2 linked regions of the Canis lupus familiaris genome follow. The protein of the gene in region 2 interacts with the protein of the main gene of each other region in a biochemical or structural test. Links are inferred from orthologs where the notes say so. Each region holds a gene or a part of one and is shown on either strand. Other genes may lie near its edges. The genes, in order: CDC27 and MDC1.

Evidence for each region.
Region 1: the proteins of MDC1 (region 2) and CDC27 form a complex in vitro, tested with the Homo sapiens proteins (2 studies listed by BioGRID). The link is inferred for Canis lupus familiaris from reciprocal best matches to the Homo sapiens genes MDC1 and CDC27.

The regions. Positions count from the first base shown.
Region 1 is NC_049230.1:17,538,304-17,542,126, reverse strand, and holds part of CDC27 (cell division cycle protein 27 homolog), read left to right. Parts: intron 1-579; coding exon 580-679; intron 680-1,674; coding exon 1,675-1,882; intron 1,883-2,082; coding exon 2,083-2,255; intron 2,256-3,823. UniProt on the Homo sapiens protein: Component of the anaphase promoting complex/cyclosome (APC/C), a cell cycle-regulated E3 ubiquitin ligase that controls progression through mitosis and the G1 phase of the cell cycle.
Region 2 is NC_049233.1:640,981-644,803, forward strand, and holds part of MDC1 (mediator of DNA damage checkpoint protein 1), read right to left. Parts: coding exon 3,789-3,823; intron 3,478-3,788; coding exon 2,009-3,477; intron 1,298-2,008; coding exon 1,232-1,297; intron 1,067-1,231; coding exon 974-1,066; intron 397-973; coding exon 1-396. UniProt on the Homo sapiens protein: Histone reader protein required for checkpoint-mediated cell cycle arrest in response to DNA damage within both the S phase and G2/M phases of the cell cycle.

The sequences.
Region 1 (3,823 bases), on a different chromosome or scaffold from region 2:
CTTCTAAGAATTAAATGAAATCCTTATATCTTAGGGTTTGCCCTTTAAAGGAAAAAAAAAAAGAAAGAAAGAAAATATACCCAGGCAGTTATTAGATTCCTTTTTTCTAAACAGAATAAACCTTGATGTGGTTGTTTGAATTTATAGGGAAATAATTTCCCAAGTATCCATTGTTTTAATGGTATTTATTTGTTGCCAAATATCCCACACTTAGACTGTCTGTATCCAACTATCTTTCTCTAACTCGCTATGGTTGCAAATGAGAGCTAGAGAGTATTAGTTTATAGACATGTTTATCATTTATTGATCCAGAATTTTTATGTGGATTGTTTTAAGTTCAAATTAGCAATTTCATATAGAGTGAATATCCATGTTATAATTTTTATCATTTTATGGTAACAGATAACTTTTAAATCCTGAGTTTTCATAGAGGGATGACAAATAGACCAACCAAACTCAAGAACTTTAGAGTACAAACATGATGAATGCATTTTTTAAAATGTATCTGAATTGAAACAAGTAATGGTCATAAACTGTTTTTTTTTTTTAAGTCCACTTTTATCTTTTTTTTTTTTTTAGTACAACACCTCAGGTATTGAGCCCCACTATCACATCTCCCCCAAACGCACTGCCTCGAAGAAGTTCACGACTTTTTACTAGTGACAGCTCTACAACCAAGGTAATTTAAAGATTTCTGTTATATATACTTAATGCTTAGCCTTCTTAAATTTCTGTTCATTGATGACTTTATCTCAAACACAGAGACTATTTTAATTTTTTTTAATTTGTAAAGCTGTCTATAACATTTGTAGATTTTCTCCGTCCTTTAATAATGTCCTTTTTAAATAAATATTATAAAACATTGTTCAAAAGACAAAATTATTATGATGGGAAACAAATTAGTGGCTATTAGGAGTTAAGACTGTGGGGGGAAGATGTGACTATTAGAGCATAGCACAAAGGAGTTTCTTTGTGTAGTGGTCGAACAGTCCTGTATCCTTATTGTAATGGTTGATTATGCGAATCATACAAGTGATAAAATTTCATAGATCTGTCACACCAAAAAATAAGTACATGTCAAAACTGATGAAATCCAAATAAGATCTTAATTTAGTTGACAGTACTGAACTGATTCCAGGGTCATGGATTTGTTGATGTCCTGTGGTTATATCAGATAGTATCACTGGGAAAATTAGAGGGAGGATAAATAGAAGTTTTCTGTGTTTTCTTTGCATATTTCTTTGTACAGTTGGAGGGCCTCATTATGCCCTTGGTAAATTTTCTTGGTCCATTGACAAATATTATGGATAATTTTTAATTTTGACATCAACAAATCAACAGTTTTATGACTTACCAGTTACAATGCTCTGAGACAACTAGGTAGTATTACATCCATTTATTTTCTTATTTTAAATAATAAATGAAAGTGATACACTTTGAGAAAAGAGCAACGAACACATAATGCTGATTTATATTACACACTAATTCGTGAATACAATTTATTTTGCATTTAAAATTAAATGATTTTGAAAATTTTGTTTCTGTAATTTTTTTGTGAGAAAAATATAGCCCAGTCAAGACTATATATTTATTTTGTGTCTGATACTTGAGAAAGGACTGGGAAGTCTAAAATACATGAGTTTAACAAATGTGGAATTTTTCTCTTTTTTACAGGAGAATAGCAAAAAGTTAAAAATGAAGTTTCCACCTAAAATCCCAAACAGAAAAACTAAAAGTAAAACTAATAAAGGAGGAATAACTCAACCTAACATAAATGATAGCCTGGAAATTACCAAATTGGACTCTTCCATCATTTCAGAAGGGAAAATCTCCACAATCACACCTCAGATCCAGGCATTTAATCTACAGAAAGCAGCAGCAGGTCTGTTTTAAATGCTTAATATCTTCTTTGTATTTTATTTTATTCACTTTAAGTTTTTTTATGTTCATTAAAGTACATTCCAGTTTTTTCTAGATAGATATTGGAATTTTTAATAAATTATTTTGTAGTTAGCCTTTCTAAAAAAATCAAACTGTTTTATTGTGTTTTTCTCCTTTGTTTACTATATTGTTTTCTCCTAGAAGGTTTGATGAGCCTTCTTCGTGAAATGGGGAAAGGTTATTTAGCTTTGTGTTCTTACAACTGCAAAGAAGCTATAAATATCTTGAGCCACCTACCTTCTCACCACTACAATACTGGTTGGGTACTGTGCCAAATTGGAAGGGCCTATTTTGAACTTTCAGAGTACATGCAAGTAAGTATAGAAAACTATTATACATGCCTTTTTTAGAGAGAATTTAATTAAAATGCCTATGCTCGAGACAGATTTAAAAGGTAAATATTTAGGGGTACCTGGGTGGCTCAGTCAGGTAAGCATCCAACTCTTGATTTTAGCTTGGGTCTTGATCTCAGGGTCATGCATTCAAGTCCTGCATTGGGTTCCACACTGGGTGTGCAGCCTGCTTAAATTTAACAAAACGAGACAAAAAAAATAAAAGGCCAATATTTATTATGTAATGTCTTTATGTATATTTTCTGAGCATTTTAATTTATAAATAGACAATTTTTTCTTGTGTTAAGGGGTAATTCAAATTTGAGGGAATTGCTTATTTTAGAGAATCCAAGTCATCTATATGTTTTGTTATGTTTGGTTTTAAGATTTTATTTATTTTAGAGCTCAAGTCAGGGGAGAGGCAGAGGGAGAGGGAGAAAGAATCTGAAGCAGATTCCATGTGAGTGCAGAGCCTTACAAGGGCTCTATCTCAAAACCCTGAGATCATGACTTGAGCCAAAAATCAAGAGTTGGACGCTTAACCAACTGAGCCATCCAGGCACCCACATTCGTATATTCTTAGACAGACATTTGTACCCTGCTCAGTTGGATCCAAAGATATATTACCATGTAATAGATATTTATAATCAAAATTTTTTTCTACTATATGCAGAGTTCCTACTGGGATGAATTTCTGGCATTTAATATGTTTTATAAATTTGAAAAGTGCCATAAAGAAAACTGTATATAATCAAGGACATAATGTCCTTCGCAAGGCTTTTATCCTTTTAATTATGTTTGTTGCTTAAGTTACTTGTTTACCAGGAAAGAAGAAAAGAAAATTCTGATTTTTAATTTAAATTTTGTACCCACTTCACCCCTAAGTATTTCCCTATTTACTTTCATTTATTCAGTGCATATTATAGATTAATATTCTCTTCTAGACTCTGTAATACAGCTAGACAAATAATTGCTTGGCTTTCTAGAGCTTGCATTCTAGTAAGAGATTGTAAGCCAATAAATGTATAAGGACAGGTAGCAATAAGTCATAGGAAGAAAAAAATGAAGCATGGTAAGAGAATTGCAGGACAATAATAAATATGTGGTGCTATATATTAAAAAAACATGCTCAGAGAAAGGAGGTGACTCCTTCCTCCATGAGCCATGCAGATCTGAGAATGAAGTGTTCTTCCAGGTAGAGAATAGATACAGAAGATATTAACTCATGTACTTTTGTATGGAAAAGAAAGAAGTATTGCTGTAGACAGATAGCCTTATTCATTGCTATAAGTTCCATGTTTGGATAATGGTCCTTTACTGATACATAGACAAAAGCTATGTTTGGCAAGCCCTTTTCAAAATTATTTCTAATTTGTTTCAGAGGTACTTTAAAATACATAATTTTAATTGTTTCCCTCTAATTATAGAACAGTGACCCAGTTACTAACTAAACAGAAGCCTTTGTTTCAACTTAATTTCATGAGGGGTTTTTTTTCCCCCTTTTTTCTTTTTGTCTATGCCACAATCACTTTTCAGAGGACACTATAGAT
Region 2 (3,823 bases):
TTTTCACCTTTTGGTCAGACTCTTGTCCCTGATTATCTCTAGCTAACACCCGTATCCCTCTAGTTAACTCTTCTCCTAACACATCTTCTCTCTCTCCTGCTGGCAGCTTCTTGGTTTCCCTGTCCAATGGGCCTCTCTCAGGGGCCACCTCCTCTGGTGCTTCTCTTGGTGTACCCATGTCTTTCTCCACAGTCTGCATCCCTCTGCCTTGAATCCCCAGTGGCTCTGCATGAACTGGGCTCTCTGGATGTTGGGCTTGTGGTGCTGTCCTAGGTGTAGAGGGGCAAGATCCATGGGCATCAATGTGGGCAGCAATGGGCTGGGGCTCAGAGGCCTCAGACTCTCTTGGACAGAATGGCTGTGTTGCCAAGACTTCCCACGGCTCATCCAGGGCACCTGGAAGTAGAGTCAGGGAGAGAGAGACAGAGAGAGACAGAGAGACAGAGAGATAGAGACAGAGAGACACACACACAGAGAGAGAGAGATGCAGATTGGGAAAGTAATAAATAGGATGAGAAAAGATTAAGATAAATTCATGAATAATAGGGATGCCTGGGTGGTTCAGTAGGTTAAGTGCCTGCCTTCGGCTCAGGTCATGATCTTGGGTCCTGGGATTGAGCCCCACGTGGGGCTCCCTGCTCAGCAGGGAGTCTGTTTCTCCCTCTCCCTCCACCCCTTCCCCAAATCGTGCAGGTGTGCTCTCTTTCTCTCCCTCAAATAAAGCAATAAAATTTTTAAAATAAAAAATTCATGAATAATAAACCTAATAATCATAATCATAAGCTGGTCATTAAAGGAAAGTTGGGAAGAGGACCAAAAAAATAAGATGCATACAGAAGTTCTCATAGCAGCCTCTTTAAAAATGATGGAGATGGAGAAACGTCAGTAAAAAGTCAAAGAATATGAAAGAAACATGTAAAGAGAAAAAGCAATGATGCCAAGTTAGGAGCATGAAGGATAGAGTTTCTTATACCTGAGGCCTGGAAGCTGTAATAGGAAGGGCCAGACTCTTGGGGTAGAGTAGCCAGGAAGGCCTGAGTGGCTTCATCCTCCATGCTCTGGACTGCTGCAGAAGAAAAGCTGGCTCACGCCTAGCTCTTCCACAGAACTCTGGGGACCCATTCTTGGCCTCCTGCCCCACCTACACCAGCTTTCACAACCTTCAAGGACCACCAGTCTGGGCTCCCAGCTCCCACTTGCACCAACATCCATACAACACAGATGCCCTCACCTTCTGGGCTCTGATTCTCTCTCTCCACAAAGCACTGGGTAGCCTGTAGGTCCAGGTCTTCAGAATCTGATGGGGGAGCAATATAAGATAGATAAGTCATATCTCATGCTTAACTCCTTACTCTTTCTCTACCATTTTCTCCCCAACCCCAAGCCCTCTACAATGGACTGAATGTTTGTATCCCACCCAAAATTCATATGTTGAAACCTAATCCCCAATGTGATTTTATTAGGAGGTAAGGTCTTTGGGAGATGATTAGGTCATGAGGGTAGAACCCACTGAATGGGATTGGTACCCTTATAAAAGAGACCCCACAATTAGCTTGTGCCCTTCTACCATATGAGGACACAGTGAGACAACAGCTGCCTATGAACAAGGAAGTAGGTCTTCATCAGAACACAATCATACCAGAACTTTGTTGTTTTTTTTTAAGATTTTATTTATTCATAGAGACACAGACTGAGAGAGAGAGAGAGGCAGAGACACAGGCAGAGGGAGAAGCAGGCTCCATGCAGGGAGCCCGACGTGGGACTCGATCCCAGGTCTCCAGCAGGATCACACCCCGGGCTGCAGGGGGCGCTAAACTGCTGTGCCACTGGGGCTGCCCCATACCAGAACTTTGATCTTAGACTTCTAAGCCTTCACAACTATGAGAAAGAATTTCTATTGTTTATAAACCACCCAGCCTATGGTATTCTGTTACAGTACCCCAAGTGGACTAAGATATTCTATAAGCGTTCTTTCTTTTCGGGGTCAAGGAAGAAGGCCAGCACTTACCACCATGGTTGTCTCCACAGTTCTTGGTCCTGTCCACATGTGGTTCTCTCTTCCTTTCTGTGGGGGTCTGGGCTCCCTCTTTCTGTGGTTGGATGGTTTCTCCTGAAGTGCCTGTGTCCACCACCAGATCTATAAGGTTCTCCTTTGAGACAGGGAGAAGATCTTGCTCCACCTGTGATACAAGTGAAACCCCCTGGGCCCTCGCCTCAAGAACTCTCTCCTGCTCAAGAACTGGTGCAGCCGATTCTGTCCCAGCATCCCCTTCTGCTAGAAGCTGGTGCTTTCCAGTATCTGCCACCAGTGAGGCTGCTAAGGATGTGTCCTCCTCCACATCTGTCCCACAGTCCTCAGATAGAGGAGGCTGGGGTTCCCCTAGGTGCATCACAGGCAGCTTTGCTTGGCCCCCTTCTACTTCCACATATGTTTGATCTGTCCATACCACAGGCACCTGATGCTTCTCCACAAGTATAATAGCTGGTCCTGGTAGGACTTTCTCTTCCACTTGTGTGATGTCTATGGTGGCAGAGGCTTGATTTCTCTCCAGGTGGACCTCAAGTAAGCTCTTATCTTCATCTACCTCTAGATCACTGTCTTGGAGAGGAAACTGCCTCTTTTCTGAGCATGCCTTGTCTGTATGACACTTGGGCACAGTTCTTCTGTTTTCCATTGGGAGACCCTCCTCCTCCACGTCTGTCTTACTATCTCTCCCAGCAGAGGTTTGGCTTGGCTCCAGAAGGGCCACAGGTTGGGCCCTGTCCTCTTCCACATCTGTACCTCTGTTCCATGTATCAGATCCGCTCTCTTTCAGACGTGCCAAAGTGAGTGCTGCTAAGACTTCTTCCTCATCATCTGTATTGCTGTCAATCACCATGGAAATTTGGTTTCTCTCCAGAGGGACTGCCAGTTGGATCTCACTTTCCTCCACATCTGTATCATTACCAGCTGGGATCTCCTGTAGATGTACCAAAGCAGGTTCCTGAAGACTCTTTGTACTAACTCTGTGGAAGATTTGCCTCTTCTTCATAGGAACTACAGCTGGTGTTGCAGGGATCCGTTCTTCTTCCACATCAGTATCACTGTCTATGAAATCAGAAGGTTGGGCCCTTTCTAAATGGACTTCAGCAGGCCTTACTGGAGGCCTGCTCTCATCCACATCTGTGTCACTGTCCTCCCCAGCACTTTGGTTTCTCTCCAGAATCCCCCCAAGTGAGACCACCCCATTCCTTGCATCCCTCTCAACTTTTGTGTTATTGTTCCTCTCCTTCACTGAACACTGATCCTTTCCAAGCTGGGTTGCAGGTGTCATAGCTTTCAGCTGTTCTGTTTCTGCAGTGGGGCCTCTTCTGGCAGATAAGGAGGCCTCTCCCGCTGCTGAATGCTGACTTTCTTCCTCATCTGTGTCACTGTCCAGGTTGAAGGCAAAAGGTGGCCCAGGGCCATCTGGGGCAGGAGAAGGCCCCTCTTCATCACTGTAAAAGGGAACAGAAGAGAAAGGGTTGATAGCATCTGTTTCCCAAGAAGAAATACTCCACTCAACTATGAGCACCTTAAGGGCAGACACAAGGCAGTAGCTGTTTGTTTGTTTGTTTCTTTCTTTTCTCTCCAGCAATTAGTTCTCACTTGGCACATCAGAGATGCTCAATAAAAGTTCAGCTGAGCAAAAGAGTATGTGCAATTCCCCAGCCCCACTTTCATAACAATCATCTCTTGCAGATAGATTCTACAGTCCCTGGTTCCTCCTCCTTTTAAAGATGTAAGTGTCTGGCCCTTTGGCACTTACCTCTCTGGAACTACTGCTGCCAAAGGGGAGGTCCT